Caenorhabditis elegans: one gene and its partners. The protein of the gene in region 1 purifies or fractionates together with the protein of each later gene. This does not show direct contact. Each region holds a gene or a part of one and is shown in the gene's direction. Other genes may lie near its edges.

Evidence for each region.
Region 2: the proteins of zfp-1 (region 1) and mcm-3 purify together in Caenorhabditis elegans (affinity purification with mass spectrometry, with the first as the bait; one study listed by BioGRID). This does not show direct contact.
Region 3: the proteins of zfp-1 (region 1) and gpd-4 purify together in Caenorhabditis elegans (affinity purification with mass spectrometry, with the first as the bait; one study listed by BioGRID). This does not show direct contact.
Region 4: the proteins of zfp-1 (region 1) and rfc-2 purify together in Caenorhabditis elegans (affinity purification with mass spectrometry, with the first as the bait; one study listed by BioGRID). This does not show direct contact.

Annotation. Positions count from the first base shown.
Region 1 is NC_003281.10:8,796,767-8,801,429, forward strand, and holds the start of zfp-1 (Zinc finger protein zfp-1), read left to right. Parts: upstream 1-1,631; 5' UTR 1,632-1,698; intron 1,699-1,766; 5' UTR 1,767-1,788; coding exon 1,789-1,897; intron 1,898-2,092; coding exon 2,093-2,348; intron 2,349-2,628; coding exon 2,629-2,719; intron 2,720-2,766; exon of another isoform or gene 2,767-2,768; coding exon 2,769-2,879; intron 2,880-3,719; coding exon of another isoform or gene 3,720-3,935; intron 3,936-4,663. Other genes in the region: F54F2.6 (uncharacterized protein), read right to left, coding at 3,720-3,935. UniProt on the Caenorhabditis elegans protein: Recruits the histone methyltransferase dot-1.1 to chromatin to methylate 'Lys-79' of histone H3 and activate transcription. Recognizes and binds histone H3 methylated at 'Lys-4' (H3K4me) at the promoters of target genes.
Region 2 is NC_003283.11:15,056,174-15,061,145, reverse strand, and holds mcm-3 (DNA replication licensing factor MCM3), read left to right. Parts: upstream 1-1,546; 5' UTR 1,547-1,551; coding exon 1,552-1,760; intron 1,761-1,805; coding exon 1,806-1,898; intron 1,899-1,949; coding exon 1,950-3,314; intron 3,315-3,367; coding exon 3,368-4,020; intron 4,021-4,067; coding exon 4,068-4,186; 3' UTR 4,187-4,427; downstream 4,428-4,972. Other genes in the region: nssp-71 (neuronal small secreted protein), read right to left, coding at 17-130, 711-762; C25D7.16 (40S ribosomal protein S20), read right to left, coding at 4,428-4,634, 4,680-4,829; C25D7.5 (Metallo-beta-lactamase domain-containing protein), read right to left, coding at 4,972-4,972.
Region 3 is NC_003280.10:10,169,288-10,173,030, forward strand, and holds gpd-4 (Glyceraldehyde-3-phosphate dehydrogenase 4), read left to right. Parts: upstream 1-1,980; 5' UTR 1,981-1,992; coding exon 1,993-2,515; intron 2,516-2,567; coding exon 2,568-3,000; intron 3,001-3,048; coding exon 3,049-3,118; 3' UTR 3,119-3,211; downstream 3,212-3,743. Other genes in the region: RFX-like transcription factor daf-19, read right to left, coding at 1-34; WW domain-binding protein wbp-11, read left to right, coding at 3,638-3,743.
Region 4 is NC_003282.8:1,345,681-1,353,356, forward strand, and holds rfc-2 (Replication factor C subunit 2), read left to right. Parts: upstream 1-1,633; 5' UTR 1,634-1,637; coding exon 1,638-1,784; intron 1,785-1,855; coding exon 1,856-1,962; intron 1,963-2,087; coding exon 2,088-2,211; intron 2,212-3,095; coding exon 3,096-3,174; intron 3,175-3,711; coding exon 3,712-3,887; intron 3,888-5,850; coding exon 5,851-6,105; intron 6,106-7,086; coding exon 7,087-7,203; 3' UTR 7,204-7,297; downstream 7,298-7,676.

The DNA of each region.
Region 1 (4,663 bases):
GTTCCCCAAGTGGTTTTAAAAAATCAATAAAATGATTTCTTGACTATCGTAATCCTTCGTGACCCCTCTGTAGAGATTTTCTTGTGTTATGCAAGTACCCCATCGTAAATTTTCTTTTCTCGATACCCGAAGTATATCCGATCACATCTGTGTCTATGATGATACTGATTACTTTTCCATTTATATTTATCACCTTGACCGTTAATTTTCAATATTTAATTTTTCAATGACAATACAATGTTAATTTTTATAAGGTTATGTGGTAGAAAATGTTAGGCGAGGTTTAGAGAAAAATATAAAAGTTTATTAACTTTATTTCGCCCTTGGACGATTTTTTAAGCATCCAAATGACTCTTTTCATTTAAATTTTTATATTTTCCGATCCGTATATTATTTTCTTTTCAACTAATTTTATTAAAACATACGGCTATATGAAATAAAGCACTGGAACGCAGAAAGTTAGAGAGAAAAGGAGCAAAGCTTCCCCTTCTTGTTTGTATGTATGTGCTCCTTGTGTGCATGTGACATAGAAGAGCCGACGTCGCTGCGCCCCTGTGAGAATTCATGCATGCTTGGCACGATGCCAAGTTGTATGTGTCTATCTTCACCTCCTTTTTCTTCTTCTTCTCGATTGCTTCTCCCTCTCTTCCAAACGAGAACGTGATGTCGGTCTCTCCTACTGTAGGCTACTAGTTGTCTGTGTCTAATACTCTCTCATTGTCAAAGACTTCAAATCGGGAAGATTGTGATGGTGGTTTGGTGACGAGAGAGAGATAGAGAGAGAGAGAGAAAGACACTGACGATGTCGTCGTTATCAGTGTATTTCTTCTTCTTCCTTTTCTTCCATACACAATCTGTAATTCTCTGTCGTTCTCTCAATTTGATTATCACTATTAAATGTATATTCATTCATTCACGCCCATAACTTTTTTGACTTGACTGAATCGAAAATCGAATCGATGGCCGCTCCCCGATAATAAGAAGGAGAGAGAAAAGAGAGACGCTGCAAAAATTTTTTGTCTTTGAATGACCTCTATTCGTCGTATTGATTGACTGCTGCCGTTTGTCTTTTGTGACGAAATTTTGTACAGTTCCATTTTCTTTTATTTCAAAAATTGAGAGAAAAATATCTAATGCTCGGCGTTAAATTTTCAATGAAAAATTTGTTCACTCAAATTGGCCCGAAAAGTCCGAAATTCATAACGAAACTTTTCAATAATTCCTCAAACTTTTTTATAGCAGTTTTACCTAAAATTCTAAATTTTGAAGAATTAGCCTTTATGCAAAATTTTGAATGGCCATAAAAGATTTTTCAATGAATTTCTGAAGAGTTTCGTAATTTGATATTTGATATTTTCAAATGGATTTTTAGTGTATTTTATAAAGCAAAACATTCTTCAATTTATTTTGTTTTCCGAATCTAATATTTAAATATCTCTATGAAACTTTAATACTATTTTTGATACGCATTCAATTATAGATAATTGTTAAACGTTCTTTTTTCTCCGAAATTAGGTTATTTCTATTTGTTCTGTTTCTTTATTTGTCGCTCGGCCATAATAAATCAATAATTTACGGCAATATACCTCTAATCTCCCCTTTTCTGCGTAATTTTTACCGAATTTTTACAGCACATCACCATACAAATGAGCCACGCCTGACCTCTTGACCAGCTACAGTAACCCAAAAAAAATTATCGTAAGTTTTTTCGAATTTTTGTGGAAAATTTGTGAATTGTATTCTCAAATGGATAATTATTTTTACAGAGTCCCCCGAAATTGCTGAAAAATGAAGGAGATGGTAGGTGGATGCTGCGTTTGTGCAGATGAGAATGGTTGGACAGACAATCCATTGATCTATTGTGATGGAGAGAATTGTGAAGTTGCAGTACATCAGGGTGAGTAGAAGTTCACAGAAATTGAAAAATTTTAGTATTTTTCCCGATATTTCGAAAAAAAATCCAACGTTTCCAAGCATTGTTTGAAGTTTTGCTTTTTTCCATCTTATTAGATGAATTTGATTTTTTTTTTTCGATTTTCTCTCAAAAAACCAAATTTTCCGATTAGGCCCCACCGAATTTTTATCATTTCAGGATGTTATGGAATTCAAGAAGTACCCGAAGGCGAATGGTTTTGTGCAAAATGTACGAAAGCATCAGCTATGATGCCCGGCAGTATAAATGAGGCAACATTTTGTTGTCAATTGTGTCCGTTTGACTATGGAGCATTGAAAAAAACTGATCGAAACGGATGGGCTCATGTAATTTGTGCACTTTACATTCCAGAAGTGCGATTTGGGAACGTACATAGTATGGAACCAGTCATATTAAATGATGTACCAACTGATAAGTAAGTTTTTCTCAAGAATATGGGTAATTCAATATGAAAAATGTGTCTGATCAAGGGTGAATATTTTTTGAGTTTTCGACTTTCGATTTTTTGACTCTCTGGAAAATCTCAAATTTTAAAAATTTCCGGTACATTTCTGAACCGAAATTTTTTTTCCAGTTTTTCGATTTTTCGACTTTCAAAAAAAAAACAACAACAAAAAATCTAAACATTTTAAACTCTTTCTTTGAAAAAATCTTGAAGTTTTATTACTATCTCGATCAATTTATATATTTTATAGATTCAATAAACTGTGCTACATCTGCAATGAAGAACGTCCAAATGATGCGAAAAAAGGTGCATGTATGTCGTGTAACAAGTCGACGTGCAAGGTATTTTTATTTTTCTTTAAATTTCTTGTAATTTAAACGAAATTTTCAGAGGAGCTTTCACGTAACCTGTGCTCAGCGGAAAGGACTTTTATGTGAAGAAGGGGCAATAAGTCGGAATGTCAAGTATTGTGGTTATTGTGAAAATCATTTGAAGAAAGCGGTATGTTTATTGAAGATTTATGCGCTAAAAATTGAGAAAAAAGTATTAAAATCGATTTCTTAATATTTTAAGAAAATCAGGCCAGATTATCACTTGGTTTTTCATAGAAGTGAAAATAAAAATAGAACTACAGTACCCATCAATTTCAAATATTTAATCCCTAGTCATACTGGTGCTGTGAAGGTCCGATGCTTGATAGACCAGGTGGATAGACACCTGTCTCTTGAAAAACTAGAGATTGTACGGAGTATTAGAGATTCAGAGAAGTAAAAATATGAATACAATCGTGTGTGCCCGCTTCTTCTCTGCATCTCTTCTCAGGATACTCTATTTCTGAGTCACAGCATTGGGACCCTGGAATAGCAACACAGCCATTGCGCTTCACTCTTAGAGTGAAAGAGATAGAGATGGAGAAAGAGACGTCCTCCGTCCTGTTTTCATATCTGCGTCTAAAATCTCTTTATCCTGAGAAAAAGAAACCGAAAGAGAGGTTGAGAGAGAGAGGGAGACATTGTCGAAGGAGGTCCGCGTGCTTCCACATACACATACACACACCATCCATTCAACACAACACACTTGAGAAGATGGAATAGACGAGAGAAGAGAGTACAGACGTTTAGACGAAATGAAATGGGTTGGGCCAACGGCTGGCTGGATGGATGGCTGACTGAGTGTGACAACGACAAATAGTGCTCGGGGGGGGGGGGGGCACTGAGAGAGATAGACGAAGAACTCGGAGAGACATAGACACAAAAAGGAACAAATTGCTGTCGGGCCAAGCGAGTTTGGAAGAGAAAGAGACGTGCATAGAGTGTCTCTCTCTCTCTCAATTTCATAAGCTTAGATGATTCTCTGCGTCTGCTCTTCGCCGCCCCTTCTGGACTTCTTTTTCTCGGGTGGCCCCCGGCGGCCGTTGTTTCGTCTGCGCTTCTTATTTTCCTCTTTATCGTCATCGTCGTATTCCTCGCTTTGTCCTGCTTTTTCGTTTTCTCCGTCCGTACGCACACATACATACACACGCACATAGTGAGGCAACATCATTCTCTTGTGCTTCATTTGGTTCTTCTTCGACGAATACTCGATAGATTTGAATATAGTCGTCGCCACGTCATACTCTACATTTTCCTGCTACATCATCCTTGCATCTCCCCACTTTCTCACTTGTTACGGTTTTTGCTTAACTCTCTACGTCTCTACTCACTCTCTCACCTACTTTCCTCTTCTCGTTGTGTTTGATGTCACCTTTCTCATCGTCTTCCGTCAATGGAGTTTTTTTGTCGCCAAAGAGAGACATTCACTCATTTTCTCTTCCGTCTCCCTGAAGTAGTTCTATGTTCTTTTTTTTTTTTTTCTAGACTTTGTCATTTAACATTTTTGTTTTACATTTTGGTACATTCACAGAATTATTTCTAAATCTAAATTAAACTTTTGATCTTGAAAGTAGGCCTATCATATAGGCCTCACCGCCTGCCTGCCTCACCTTAAGACGATCTTCGCCTGTTTCCAACTAAGTTGAATGTCTTGATTGTTCTCGGGGGTTGTCAAATTTTTGATGTTATTCTAATTCACCTAATTTAAATTAAACGGTAACAAATATCATAAAACCCTTTAGTTTTTTTTGAAAAAGTCTAATAATCTTTATTAGTTCTTTTTACTAATGAGGACGCTGCAAATTTTTGTTTTTTTTTTCAAAATTCAGCACAAACTTTTCCAAAACACTGAGCAATGTTTTGTTCCGTCTCTTTTCAATATCTAAGTCTCCCTTTAGCTGGTCTCTACACTTC
Region 2 (4,972 bases), on another chromosome or scaffold:
CAGGCTTAAAACTCACATTTCTTCGGATTGTTCACTTTACAGTCGAACTTCATGCAGGTGTAGATGTTTCCCGGGCAGACTTGAGTGAACGCATTGAGAATACTATTTTGGACGAAGCATGTTGTGGATTCTGAAAAAAAGTCAATGTTCCAAAGCTCCAAGGTCTCGCCACGAAAGAAATATTTGCAAATCGTGAAAGGTACGCGCCTTTAAGCGGTACAGTAACGACTTTTTTTTTCAGATTTTTCGGTTTATTTTCAACTTAGTTTTCAAATAAACATTTTTGAACCCTGGAAAAACTGTACCTCTTAAAGGCGCACACCAAGCCCCTTAGATCAGATCTCGACACTACCCATTATTAAATTTGCAAAAGTGTTTGCGCCTTTGAAGAGTACGGTAGTTTCTAACTTTTCTCAGAACAGTTTTCTCCTGTTTTCTAAAAATTGTTTCATTCTCAAGTAATTTCACTTGTGTAATTATCATTTTTTGATACTTAAAAAACGGAAGAAAAAACTATAGCAACTAAATAAAGAAAACCCGGAAACAATCTGAATACTACAGTACTCCTTAAAGGTGCACACTCGTTTGAAGAATAGTAAGCTAATAGATTTTGTCTTAAAAAAGTCGTTTCGAGACCCGGTACAGTACTCTTGGAGGCAACACGTTCAAAATTTCGCCAGTCCTGTTATAAATCTAGATTCAATTCTCACCTGTCTCTGAAATCCAGAGTACCAGAATCGAGATTGCGAGTAGAAGTTTCATGGTTTCGTATTCGTATCGTATTGCGAATATAAAACGAAAAAGCACAGAAAAAATAGCTTTGTGAATGAATGAATGAGTGAAGGCCCGAGCGGCGGCGGGAGGGTCCGATAGATGTTGTTTCAAACGGTTTCCAATGGTTTCCAGCACGCGGTGCGCTCAAGTTTCTAGGAGACAAAGTCAAAGCACTTAAAGCTTTACGGCATAAATTTTGTGTATATGTGTGCTTTTGTGACCACTTTCTTCCCATTTCTATGTATAAATGTATTACGAAAGGTGCGTCCTGGGGGAGGCAGGGAGAAAATAAGAAAGATGGGATGAATAGAATGGAAAAGCATCTGTGTCTGTGAGTTTGTGAGTACTGAAACAATAGATTCCATTTTTGTGATTTGTTATGAAAAATTGAGGAGATTTTTGGAAGAGATCTTTTGCATAGATCACGGGCACAAATGTTATTGATGTTTTTTGAAACTTGAAATGACAATTTTGAACTGATAATTTCAGACAATTTTCATTTTATTCCAGGCATTTTTATTTAAATAAAATTATTTCGCTATTAATAGCTATTTAAAATAAACATGTTCAAACATCACTTTCAGGTGCATTGAGTGCAGCGTTGCGTCATGGTGTTTACGGAGCGAGCGCGCGAAACCTTGCTGTTTGAATGAGAAATGCGCGAATTTGGGCCGAATTTTTCTATTTTCCCCGCTCTTCTCCGTGCTTTCTAGTTTCTATTCGTTTATTTTTTAATTTTAAGTTTCTTTTGTTAAAAACATCTTATTTTCAGAAAAAATGGACGGACAAGCTGATGGAATGTTCATTGATCGTGCCGAGGATGCTCGAAAACAAGAAATCACGGAGCAGTATCTCAACTTTTTGGACAATCAAGCCGACACTTTTCACTATCGTCAGAAAATTGTGAAAATGATGAATGATGGAGAAAGTCGTTTGGTGATGAATCTCGATGAAATCAGGGAAATTCTACCAGAAAGAGCTGAAGGGTAATTAATAAAAAATAAAGAATTCCCGAGTATTAAAGTTTTCAGGCTATTGACCCAAAGCGTTCTTGAGATGAATTGCTTACAATCTGCACTTCAAATGGCTATTAATCGTAGTGATGTTCAAGCTGTTGTCAAAACGTGAGTAGCTTTTAAAAGCCGTTTTTGTTTTTAAACAATTTGTATTTTCAGTGGATTCCACGTCGGCTTTGAAGGAACTTTCGGAGAGCGCCACGTCAATCCACGTACTCTCAAATCATCATATCTTGGAAACCTTGTCTGCTGTGAGGGAATCGTCACAAAGTGTTCAACTGTTCGTCAAAAACTTCTCACTTCTGTCCACTATTGTCCAGCAACAAATAAAGTGCTCGAGAAGAAATTTGCCGATTTCACTATGCTCGACACTGCAGTCACCAATAACAACTATCCAACAGAAGATGAAAATAAGAATCCTCTTGAAACAGAATTCGGACATTCAGTTTACAAGGATCATCAAACGTTCACAATTCAAGAGCTTCCAGAATCCGCACCAGCCGGTCAACTTCCTCGGGCCGTCGATTGTGTTGCTGATCTTGATTTGGCAGATCGCGTCAAGCCTGGAGATCGTGTCCGCATCATTGGAGTCTTCCGTGTTCTGCCGAATAAGCAGAATGGAGTTTCGTCTGGATCCTTCCGTTCGATCATCATCATTAATCATATTCAAATGCTTTCAAAGGAGGTTATTCCAAACTTTGAGCCACAAGATGTTAAAGATGTTCGTAAAATTTCAAAGTCAAGAAACCCATTTGAGCTGCTCGCTCGGTCACTTGCTCCATCAATTTGCGGCCACGAAGAGACAAAGAAAGCGTTGCTCTGTTTGTTGCTAGGTGGAATGGAAAAGATTCTGAACAATGGTTCTCGTTTGAGGGGAGATATCAATGTTCTTCTCATCGGAGATCCATCTGTTGCCAAGTCTCAACTGCTTCGATATGTTCTTCGTATGGCCCCAAGAGCTATCACCACAACTGGACGTGGATCTTCGGGTGTTGGACTTACTGCTGCTGTTACTACTGATCCTGATTCGGGAGAACGTCGTCTTGAAGCTGGAGCAATGGTTCTCGCCGATCGTGGTGTCGTTTGTATTGATGAATTTGACAAGATGTCTGATATTGATAGAACTGCAATCCACGAAGTTATGGAACAGGGACGTGTCACAATTTCGAAGGCTGGAATCCACGCGAAGCTGAATGCTCGTTGCTCGGTTCTGGCTGCAGCAAATCCGGTGTACGGACGATACAATCCATTCAAATCTCCAATGGAAAACATCGGAATGCAAGATTCACTCCTCTCGCGTTTCGATTTGATCTTTGTACTTCTTGATGAGCATGATGCGGACAAGGACGCTAATGTCGCTGAACATGTGCTCAAGCTTCACACTTACAGAACCCAAGGTGAAGCCGATGGAACTGTTCTTCCGATGGGTGGAGGTGTTGAGACGATCAGTACAATCAATATGGAGACTAAGAAGGCGAGCAGCTCGATCTATGAGGAAAATACCCAATGGGCTGGTATTCAAGAGTGAGTTTCTTTTATAAAAAAACAATATAAATTAATTAATTTCTCTATTTCAGCACGAAAATCCTGACAATGGACTTCATGAGAAAGTACATCCATTTGGCAAGATCAGTTCAACCAAAACTCACCGATGAAGCTACTGAGTACATTTCTGAAGTATATGCCGATATTCGTTCATTTGATATCACCAAAACTGATCAAGAACGAACAATGCCTGTCACCGCTCGTCAACTCGAAACATTGATTCGTTTGTCAACTGCTATCGCGAAGGCAAGATTCTCGAAAAAAGTCGAACGAGAGGATACTGAGAAAGCTTACAATCTGCTCCACTTTGCCTGTTTCAAGGAGAAGCCAAAGGCTCGTCAAGAGTATGAGAAGAAGAAGCGAGCTCCACGAATTGATGGTGACGATGATGAGGATCAGAGCGATAACGAGGACATGGCAACATCGGAAGAGCCTCAATCTAGCTCCGTTCCGACTGCAGCCACCCCGCGTCGTGGAGTCAGAAGGCGTGCTGAAGATGATGATAGCCAGGATTCTATGATGGATACTACCATTGGAGAAAGTCAGCCAACTGCTAAGAAAGCACGTACTGGACCGGCTGCCATCGGAGTTGATCGTTATAAGGAGCTTCGGAAGTACGTCAGAAAGGCGTTCGACGACATTGGAAGCACCGACGATATGGTTGAACTTCAAATTATCACAGACAGTAAGCAAATGTTTCATTAAAAATGTTTATTACAAAAATGTTTTCAGGTGTTCAAACTCAAGCCGGATCACACAAGTTCACTGAGGATGAGCTGAAGGCTGGATACGAACAATTGGAAAACGATAACGCTGCAATGATTGCCGAAGATAAGATCACTCTCATCTAATTTCCTGCTGGAAGCTGGAACATAAGCCCCGTTTTCTTTTCGATCTCTCAATCAAATCATTATTTTATCCTTTTTTTCACCTGATTATCATTCCTATTTCATTTTAACTAGGGTCTCCTAATCCACTCACATTGATTTTACATTGCCTATTGTACTATGTTGTCTCTCTCTTTTCTCTTTATTCCTCCCCCTATTATATCTCTTTATCAATCGCGTAACCGGATAAAAGAAGTACTCTTGGTCATTGATTCTTTGTGGAGACTGTCTGAACGCCGGTCGACATGCGAGCCTTCTTTCCACGTTTCGCTGCCTTCTCCTGTCGATACTGAATTCCGGTACATCCGAGTCGATGGTCACCAACCAACGGAATGGTGTTCGCTTGAACCGCTTTGCAACGATTTGTGTCAGGGAATTCCATTGGCTTCAATTCGATTCTCACATGAATTTCCTGGAAAACAATTATTTGGAAAGGAATGAGAAAGTGGAAACATACCTCATTTTTCTTGAACAAAACTACATTCGTCTCTCGGATATTTCGAGTTTTTATTCCTTTCAGCGCCTCCAAAATTTTTTGCTCAATTGTTGGAATTTCATTCCAATTAACACGAATTTCAATCGATTGTTGAACGGAAGAAGACGTCATTTTTTAGATTCGAAGATATAGGAAATACATTTTTTTGGAACGATTTATTAGCTTTTTTTATTTTGAAATGTTTTTCAGCGTGAACAAAAAAATATAGAAACCCGCTTAATAAATATGAGAAATTAATTATTTTCGAATTAATT
Region 3 (3,743 bases), on another chromosome or scaffold:
TGCTCGTCGATGGCACCGGCTCCTCATTGGTCATGACTTTCTTCTCTGCCGCACCACCCCTGAAACTAGACATTTACAGAGAGAGACCCAGACGATGTTGCATTTAGTCTCTTGGATAATTTGGAAGTAGTTTCCATGGAAACCAAAATTGTAAAAGAAGCCGAGATGAAGCCGGAAAAGCAGCTAGAGAAAAGCAAAGGTGGCCTAGAGAGAGAGTTAGGGAGGGGGGAACGAAACTAAGTTGCTGCGTCGATAAAATATGTGCGGCAGCGGGGAGTGTCTCCTCGTTGCCTGGGGGAGTGTACGTGAGTGAGTGAGAGAGTGTCTGTCTGTGTGAGTGTGTGTGGTGCGAGTGTGTGTGTCTCAGTTGTGTGTGTGTTGTTGTGGGTGAAGAGATGGGACGAAAAGGAGATATGTGTGTGTGCCTAGGGCCCCTCTCAACAATGGAACATCACTTCTTCCCTGCTTCTCCTTCTTAAAAGTATTTCTTTAAGGGCCCCCGAGGTTGGGAAGAAGGTGGCTCGGCGCTTGCATAGGAACGGAAGCTGAAAACTAGGACATATTCCTCACAGACTGGCGAATCTGAAAAATAAATACCGTAACATGTATCAGTATCACAATAGTTTTTTTTTCAAATTTCAAGTATTTCAAGTAACATGAAACATTCAACATGTTTGAGAGTTAATAATATAATATACCTAGGTTACTTATTTTATTAAATTTCCTTCTTCAAACATACCTGTTAAAAACAATCAGACATCCCAAAAAAACTCTGAAATGTTCTGTCAAAGTCATGTTTAAAAGTTTGAAACTACAAAGATGTTGCAAGAATACGGTCTTGCAACGATCGGAAGTTTGTTACTGAAAGCTGTGAACCGCGACAATTAAGAACTATTGTAGTTACTTATTAAAAATGTACACTCTTTTTTGGAGAAACCGTTTAAAAATTCAAGGTCGTGTCGAGACCTGATACTGTATTTTTGCTTTATAAATTGTAATATTCTTAATCTGGATGATTAATACAGTTTACATATTACCGGAACACAAAATTCTAAAAATTCGTACTGTGCAACATATTTGACGCTTTAAATATCTCGTAGCGAGAACTACAGCTGTATACAGTAATTCTTTAAATGACTACTGTAGCGCTTGTGTCGATTTACGGGCTCGATTTATGAAATTAATTTAATTTCGAACAGCGACATTCTTTTTTCATTCGTTTCTCATTTTTTGCTTAATTTTAGTATTCTATAGATAAATAAATTATTTTAATCCATTCGAGCCCGTAAATAATATGCATTCTCAGAATTTTGTGTTCCCGTAATAAACTATGAGTTACAATTTTCGATTTCAAGACATACCGTACCCAAGTTTATCAGAGAGCGGCACAAAATCGGTTTTCCTGTTGAAAATAGCTAAAAATCAACAATTATTGTCTTATATCCATAGATATAAAACAATGCATATTATATTTATTTTTTTCTTCAGAAAAGAAACGAAAATATTTTATTTTCACATTTTTATATTCAGTTTTTGCATAGTTTTTCTTTTTTATTTCTAGATTACACTTAAAAGCTGATAAATTTAGTGTTATTCTCGATTTTTCGGAATAAAAATTCATTTTCAATAATTTTTGATCTTCTCTTTATTTTTGAAGAAAAATTATTGATTTTTTTCCACCAGAATTTTCAATTTTAAAGGGATGACCAAATTTAAAAACCACGGGTCTCGCAACGAATATGAAAAATATTTTTGCGCTTTGCAGACGCGCACGAGCGGCAAGTTTTCAATTTTCTGCAGTTGTTCACCAATCTAGATTTCTTTTTCATCATTTATTCTCTTTTTCTTCCCGATGCGGTTGATTTTGCTTTGCTCTCTTTGCTTCAATCTGAATTTTCGCCATTTTTATTCAGATTTGTTCCTTCTTAAGCTATTACTTCTTGTGAATCTTCCGTCAAAATTTCATTCAAGTTTTCTTACAGACTCAAAAAAATGTCGAAAGCCAACGTCGGAATCAACGGTTTCGGAAGAATCGGACGTCTCGTGCTCCGCGCGGCTGTCGAAAAGGACACGGTTCAAGTGGTCGCCGTCAACGATCCGTTTATCACAATCGACTACATGGTCTACCTTTTCAAGTATGACTCGACCCACGGTCAATTCAAAGGAACTGTTACCTACGATGGAGACTTTCTGATTGTCCAGAAAGATGGCAAATCATCGCACAAGATCAAGGTCTTCAACAGCAAGGATCCAGCTGCCATCGCATGGGGATCAGTCAAAGCCGATTTCGTTGTCGAGTCTACTGGAGTTTTCACGACAAAGGAAAAGGCCTCTGCCCATCTTCAAGGAGGAGCCAAGAAGGTCATCATCTCTGCTCCATCTGCTGATGCTCCAATGTACGTGGTTGGAGTAAACCATGAGAAGTACGACGCTTCGAATGATCACGTTATTTCTAACGCATCGTGCACCACCAACTGTCTGGCACCACTGGCGAAGGTTATCAATGATAACTTCGGTATGATCATCATCAAATCAATTTGTTTTTTTCTAATTTATTTTATTTTCAGGTATCATCGAAGGACTCATGACGACAGTGCACGCTGTAACCGCAACCCAGAAGACAGTCGATGGACCATCCGGAAAGCTGTGGAGAGATGGACGCGGTGCTGGACAAAACATCATTCCAGCTTCCACTGGAGCCGCCAAGGCTGTGGGAAAAGTCATTCCGGAGCTGAACGGAAAGCTCACTGGAATGGCTTTCCGTGTCCCTACACCAGATGTTTCCGTCGTTGATCTGACCGTTCGCCTCGAGAAACCAGCTTCGATGGATGACATCAAGAAGGTAGTCAAGGCCGCTGCCGATGGACCAATGAAGGGAATCCTCGCCTACACCGAAGATCAAGTTGTGTCGACTGACTTCGTGTCCGACCCTCACTCGTCCATTTTCGATACTGGAGCATGCATTTCGCTCAACCCGAACTTCGTCAAGCTCGTCTCTTGGTAACCACTGAATTTTTAAAAAATGTATTTTAAATTTATTTTTTACAGGTACGACAATGAATATGGATACTCGAACCGTGTTGTCGACCTCATCGGATACATCGCCACCCGTGGATAATTCTATCAGGATCTTTTATGTATAATCCATGTATTTCATAGCTATTTTTTTTATTACAGTCATCATTGAATAAACCTATTTTTCTGGTGAAATCTAGTACTTTTGTCGTGATTTTAGAAAAAGATTGAAATGACTTCTAAAGTGAATGTCTATTGGAATTCGAGACCTAACCTTTAAATTTAAAGTTGCTTCGCATTTTGATGGTGCGAACGTGGACTATTGATAGTGTTTTGTGGTGCGTTGCGGGCTAAACCGCGACGCCTCTGACGATCTTGCACCCAAATAAATTAAACGTATTTTTCTGATTAAAATTAACATTTCGTCTAGAAAAGCTAATTTTGCACTCATTTGAAAATAATAGCATCTTTCTTTTTTTTAATGAATCCATTTCACATCCATTATCTGATACAAATTTTATTCTAGATGTTTTTCCTAAAGCTCCTCATTTTTCGAATATCTGTATTTAATTCGTTTTTTATTTCCAGAACAGCTGTCCTAAATCATGTTTTTTTTTCAGAAATGCCGTCCATCAGTAAAACGAAAAGCGGGGAGCGCTATCGAGCGCCTACCGATCAAGCTCGTAAAATGGATCGAAAAAAGGAAAACAAGAGAAACAAAAAAGACA
Region 4 (7,676 bases), on another chromosome or scaffold:
ACCACGATGGGTCTTTCCACGATGGGTCTCACCACGGTGGGTCTCGCCACGATGGGTCTCGCCACGATGGCTCTCGCCACGAAGATCTCGCAGCAACATTTTTTTAATTTTCCAGAAGGTTCTAGAACAATCCAGAATTTTTTCGAATTTTCCAGAAGGTTCTGGAACATTCCAGAATTTTCTAGAATTTTCCAGAAGGTTCTAAAGCTTTTCAGAATTTTCCAGAAGGTTCTGGAACATTCTAGAATTTTCCAGAAATTCCCAGAAGGTTCTGGAACATTTCAGAATTTTCCAGAAGTTTCCAATTTCCCTTCCAAAGACGGAAAGTCAATTTTTCATAAACTACCGTAATCCTACCGTACTCCTACAGTACTCCTACAGTACTATTACAGTACCCCGACCATATTCCACTACTAACCGCAAACCTATATCTCTTCAAAAGACAAAAACACAATTTTTCATAAACTACAGTAATCCTACAGTACTCCTACAGTACCTCTACAGTACTACTACAGTACCCCGACCATATCCCACCTCTAACCCCAAACCTATATCTCTTCAAAAGACAAAAACACAATTTTTCATAAACTACAGTGATCCTACAGTACTAATACAGTACTCCTACAGTACTAATACAGTACCCCGCCCATATTCCTCTACTAACCACAAACTAATATCCCTCCAACAGCCGAAAACACCTTGCCTTTGTAAGCTATGACGTCACTTGTTAACAAACGGACACTATTTTTTTATATATAGGTAATGATTAATTATTAATTATTAATTATTAATTATTTATTTATTTATTTATTTATTTCAAAAAAACTTTTTTCGATGTCAGGAGTCCTGACTCAGGACAAGTCGTCGTCGGAAGAAGAAGACTTGGAATGCTCACTCCGAAGGTTCCATGGCTGTCCATCGCACGTACTGACCGTGAAAAAAAATGGAATGAGTTTATCCTCTTCGCAACTTGAACCCAACGGACATCAAAGTATCAAAGTAAAGTAAGTAAGAGCTCGAGCCCAGATGCTCGAGCTTGAGCCTAAATGCTCAATCTCGAGCCCAAATGCTCGAGCTCGAGCCCATATGCTCTATCTCCAACGCGAAAAAAGTTGTAGCTGTTAAAAGTCCATGAAGTGCATCCACTTGCCACGAGAAGTGAGAATCAGCCCGAAGCCGCCACAGTCGTACATATTTTCTTTATTTAAACCGGTCAGATACACTGATAGTATTATATTTAACATATTTCTATCTGCAAAAATGCTCTTCTGCCCAGAATTCTTCTGATTCCATTTAATTCTTGCTAGAAATCGCTGAAAAAACAGCTCGTATTTACAATTTTTTGTAATTTCCGACTTCCCATTTTATCAATTTTACTATTTCTGTGAAAAAAATTCGAAATTTCGTTCAAAAATAGCGATTCTGGCTCAATTTCATGAATATCTGTTGTTTTTTTTGGCAAAAGTGGCCGCGGCCGAGGAGGAAACCTTGTCCCCGCTCGGTGTACTCCTCTCGGATAATATTTGTTTTTTGAATTTTAAGCGCGCCAAACTGATTTTCTTTGTCATTCCATGAATTTTCGTCACGTTTTTCGAGTTTTGTATCGAATTCTTATCAAATTTTCAATATTTCCAGCTATGTCAAAGTCGGAAAAGCAACAATTAGCGCCATGGGTGGAGAAATATCGTCCAAAAGTGCTCGCCGATATTGTCGGCAACGAGAACATTGTCGAGCGGCTCAAAGTGATCGGACACGAGGGAAATGTGCCGAATATTGTTTTGTCGGTGAGAAGATTGTTGAAAAATTCATTTTAAAAGTCAAAATGTGAAGTGAAAAATCGAATTTTTCCGTTCAGGGTCCCCCAGGCTGCGGAAAAACGACATCAGTGTGGGCGTTGGCTCGAGAATTGCTCGGCGATAAGGTTAAGGAAGCGGTGCTCGAGTTGAATGCGTCGGACGAGAGGTTTGTGAGAAAAAACCCTGAATAACTGGGAAAAATTGCAAAAAAATTGACTTTTTCGCTAAAAACTTTGAAAAAATTGAATTTTTCTCAAAAAAAAAATCTCAAAAAACTGCCAATATTTCCAGAGGAATCGATGTGGTCCGTCATCGTATCAAAACGTTCGCCCAGACGAAGGTGACACTTCCAGAAGGCCGTCACAAGATTATCATACTGGACGAGGCCGATTCGATGACCGATGGTGCACAGCAGGTGCGGAATTTTGCCGAAAAACTTGGAAATTTGAATTCAGCTCAACGAGAGCTTTGATTTAAGTATGAACATGACTAGGCTGCGATAATTTTGGAAATAAATCTGAAAGTTTTAGGCTTAGGCTTTTAGGCTTAGGCTCAGGCTTTAGCTTAGGCTCAGGCCTTGACTTTGGATTAGGTTTAGGCCTAGGCCTAGGCTTAGGCTCAGGCTTAGACTTAAACGTAGGCGGGATTTTTTTAAGTAAAAAAAGCCGAAAAGTGAGTGTTTTTAGTAGATTTTTCAGTTTTTTTTTGACAAAATCTAGATAAAATCGGAATTTTCTGACGAAAATATCAAAGTTCCGCAATTTTTGAGCTTTTTGCAATGAAATTGGTACAAATTTCGAATTTTTTTTAAATGAAAAATGCCATAAATTAAATGGTCAAAAATCCGGAATTTCTAGCGTTTTCCGAGACAATTTGCGATTTTTTTAAAGAGAAAATGTCAAATATCAGAAAATTGCCCGTTTTTTCCACAAAAAAAACCGAGAAAAATGGTAACTTTGCACACACAATTTCACTTATTTTTTCAGGAAAATTTACACGATAATTAATCAAAATTTTCGTGTTTTTTTTTTTGAAATTGAGCCAGTTTGGATGTCAATCTACCAGTTTTTCTGCGAGGAATTCGATTTTTTCCAATGAAAATCCCCCCAAAAAATGCAATTTTCATCCGAAAAAACCTCCTAAACTCGAAAAATTAGTCCCCCGCCACGATGATTAAAAAATTTCCAATTTTTTCGAAATTTTCGGAACCCAGTCATGATTATACTTAAATGAAAGCTCTCAACGAGCTCAATACGAATTTTGCATTGAATTTCCAAAAAAAAAAAACCAAATTTTCAGGCTCTCCGCCGCACAATGGAGATGTACACAAAGACGACAAGATTTGCGTTGGCCTGCAATCAATCCGAGAAGATTATTGGTACATATTAGGGACGGCAAACGATTTTACCGGCAAATCGGCATATTGCCGGAATTGAAATTTCTGGCGAATTGCCGGAATTGAAATTTCCGGCAAATTGGCATATTGCTGGTTTTGAAAATTTCTAGCAAATCGACAAATTGCCGGAATTCAAATTCCTAGCAAATCGGCAAATTGCCGGAATTGAAATTTCTGGCAAATTGGCAAATTGCCGGAATCGAAATTTCTGGCAAATTGACAAATTGCCGGAATTGTAATTTCTGGCAAATTGGCAAATTGCCGGAATTGAAATTTCTGGCAAATCGACATATTGCCGGAATTAAAATTTCTGGCAAATTGGCAAATTGCCGGAATTGAAATTTCTGGCAAATTGGCAAATTGCCGGAATTGAAATTTCTGGCAAATTGGCAAACCGGCGATTTTCCGATTTGCCGAATTTGCTGACAAAAAATTTCCGAACGGCACTTGCCGTCCACACTAATACAGATCTCGGCCTGGAAACTCCCCAAAAAATCGATCGATTTTTGCCCCTTTCAGAGCCCATTCAATCCCGTTGTGCCCTGCTCCGCTACACAAAATTGAGCCCCGTACAGCTGTTGACACGTGTCAAGGAGGTTGCAAAAGCCGAGAAGGTCAACTATGACGACGGGGGTCTTGAAGCGATTCTGTTCACTGCACAGGGTGATATGCGACAGGCGTTGAACAATTTACAGGTAGAAAATCCGGGAAAAGGCTGAATTTTGAGCTGAAAACGCTGGAAAAAATTGCGAAAATTCACAATTTTCTAGACCAGAATTTTTACAATGTATGTGCTTAAAAGTAGTGAAAAACCGGAAATTTTAGCTAATTTAGTTGGAATTTGGCGTTTTCCGTAAAAAAGGTGAAAAAAATCATATTTTTAAAGGATTTTTTTTCACTAAAAATTGACCTTTTCCAAATTTTCTTCAGTGAAAATCTAAAAATGTTATTAATCTCAAAAATTCCAAAATAAAATCCAAAAAAAAAAATTCAAAAAATTTTAGGAAACTTTTTAAAAATTTCAAAAAAAAATCCTAAAAATTTCACAACAATCCCAAAAAATTCCAGATAATTCCAAAAAAAAAAAAAACTTTAAAAAAATTTCCAAAAAAGATTTCCAAAAAAGATTTCCAGGAAAACTTGGCCATCCTTCCGAACTCCATAATTTTATTTTCAAAATTTTGAAAAATTGGTCTAAAAATATAAAATTTCGCTGAATGTTCTTTTTTCCTTGAAAATCTCAAAAAGTTTCATGAAAATTGGATTTCGTACCATTTTTTTATTTAAACATTTTTTTTTGTTGATTTCACCAGTTTTTTACATTTTGCAACAAAAAAACTTAGAATTTTTCCTAAAATTGAAATTTTCATTAAAATTTTCTCATTTTTTCAGTGAAAATCATGAAATTTCATCAAAATATTGAAATTTTTTACATTTTTCAGTTAATTTTTTTTTTCGATAAAGGACATCTAAAAAAGGGGTATTTTAACAATTTTTTCCCCACAAAAATTGCAAAAATGCCGATTTCCAGTATAATTAAGTGGAAATTTCATGAAAATGTGACTTGTGTGTTTCTCTATCCGAATTGATGGTTTGAATAGTGGTATTCTCGGCTGAAATATGCAATAAATACCGTATTCCAACCAACAATTCGGTGCAATAGAGCACATTTGTCACTGGAGATGCGGAAGCTATGCCCAATTTTTCAATTTTTTTTAGTAAAAATCTGAAAATTTAAACAAAAATTGCGTTTCAAAACAAATTTTCCATTTTTGGGCTGAAAACTTGTAGAAAATTTAGAAAAAGTCTTATTTTCAAGTAAAAACTATGTAAAATATGCAATTTTCCGGCTAAAAAAAAGTAAAATGTTCCGATTTTCCAGGCAACAGTGAACGCTTACGAGCTTTGCCGAGATTTTCAATTATTTTTCACGTCGATCCTCATATCTTCTCAATGTTTTTTTTTCAAATTTTTTTTTCAAATGAACCCGATTCTTGTACAGAATATGTAGTTTTGGGTCTCGCAGCGAAATTGCGCGTTTTATTAATTATTTTTATTGCACTTTAAACATATTTATAGATGGATTTTCCTCGGAACTTTAGCAATTTCATCCCAGTTGCCGAGAAATGCTAAAAATTTGGGTACGGCAACTCGGCAATTGCACACTTTTTGAATTTTTCAATTTTTGATGCAAAAAATTAATTTTCTTGGATTTTTCAAATTTTGCTCAAATCCCTGCTAAAAATTCGAAGATTTTTTAGCCTTTTCTAGTTTTTGCCGAGGAATGCTATAAATTTTGGCTCGGCACCTCGGTAACTGAACTAAATTTCCCTATATATTGTCTGTGACTTGTGTGTTTCTCTATCCGAATTGATGGTTTGAATAGTGGTATTCTCGGCTGAAATATGCAATAAATACCGTATTCCAACCAACAATTTGTGCAATAGAGCACATTTGTCACTGGAGATGCGGAAGCTATGCCCAATTTTTTTTTAGTAAAAATCTGCTGAAAATTTAAACAAAAATTGCGTTTCAAAACAAATTTTCCATTTTTGGGCTGAAAACTTGTAGAAAATTTAGAATGTCTTATTTTCAATTAAAAACTATGTAAAATATGCAATTTTCCGGCTAAAAAAGTAAAATGTTCCGATTTTCCAGGCAACAGTGAACGCTTACGAGCTTGTGAACAAGGAAAATGTGCTGAAAGTCTGTGATGAGCCACACCCGGACCTTATGATCAAAATGCTCCATTACTGTACGGATCGCAAATTCTTCGAGGCATCCAAGATTATTCACGAGTTTCATCGGCTTGGCTTCTCCTCAGACGATATTGTATCAACGTTGTTCCGTGTGGTAAAGACTGTCGAGCTGTCGAAAAATGTGTCCGAACAGCTGAGAATGGAGTATATTCGGGTGAGAAAATGGGTGGAAAATGAGCCAAAATGAGCGGCTAAAAGCCGCCCGGGGTGTTCTGAAAATTGTCAAAAATCCGCGTTTTTTGGAGCTTTGTTTTGCCGAAAAACGCGAAATTTCGTTGTTAGATCATCGGAATATCTAAATTTCGGCCTTTGTGGCTGAAAATTGCCGAAAACCACCGGATTTTAGGGATTGGTAGCCTAAAATTGGCGAAAATCGTGAATTTCGAAGACTAGTTGCCGGAAATTGCCGAATTTTAGTTTTTGGTTACCGGAAATTGAGTCCGGCAACTCGGCAACTGAACTGAATTTCCAATTGAAATTTCCGGCCAACCGTAAAATTGCCGGAAATGAAAATTTGCGGCAACTCGGCAATTTGCCGGAATCGAAAGTTTCCGGCAAATCGGCAATTTGTCGGAATTGAAATTTCCGGCAAAACGGCAAAATGGTGGAATTGAAAATTTTCGTCCAATTGGCAAACTGCCAAAAATAAAAAATAAAATTTCCGCCACATTGCCGGAATTGAATTTTGAGGCAAAATGGGAAAATAGCGGAATTCAAAAATTTCCGGCAAATCGGCAAATTGCCGGAATTGAAATTTCCAGCAAAACGGAAAATTGCCAAAAATCAAAATTTCCGGCAAATCGGCAAGTTGCCGGTATTGAAAATATCCGGCCGATCGGCAAGTTACCGGAAATAAAAATTTCCGGATAATCGGTAAATTGCCGAAATTGAAATTTCCGGCAAATTGGCAACTGAATTGAATTTCCCGGTATATTGTCTGTGACTTGTGTGTTTCTCTATCCGAATTGATGGTTTGAATAGTGGTATTCTCGGCTGAAATATGCAATAAATACCGTATTCCAACCAACAATTTGTGCAATAGAGCACATTTGTCACTGGAGATGCGGAAGCTATGCCCAAATTTTAATTTTTTAGCCCAAAACCATTAAAAAAAAACAACGAAACAATTTTTCAGCAAATCGCCATGTGCCATATGCGTATCGTGCAGGGACTCACTTCGAAACTTCAACTCTCCCGTCTGATTGCCGATCTGTGCCGAGTTTCAGCAGCGGCAACGGCTACGAGTGCCTAAAATTGTTGCCGAGATTTTCAATTATTTTTCACGTCGATCCTCATATCTTCTCAATTTTTTTTTTCAAAATTTCAAATGAACCCGATTCTTGTACAGAATATGTAGTTTTGGGTCTCGCAGCGAAATTGCGCGTTTTATTAATTATTTTTATTGCACTTTAAACATATTTATAGATGGATTTTCCTCGGAACTTTAGCAATTTCATCCCAGTTGCCGAGAAATGCTAAAAATTTGGGTACGGCAACTCGGCAATTGCACACTTTTTGAATTTTTCAATTTTTTGATGCAAAAAATTAATTTTCTTGGATTTTTCAAATTTTGCTCAAATCCCTGCTAAAAATTCGAAGATTTTTTAGCCTTTTCCGGTTTTTTCCGGAATTCCAGTTTTTGCCGAGGAATGCTATAAATTTTGGCTCGCCACCTCGGCAACTGAACTGAATTTCCCTATATAGTATGTGACTTGTGTGTTTCTC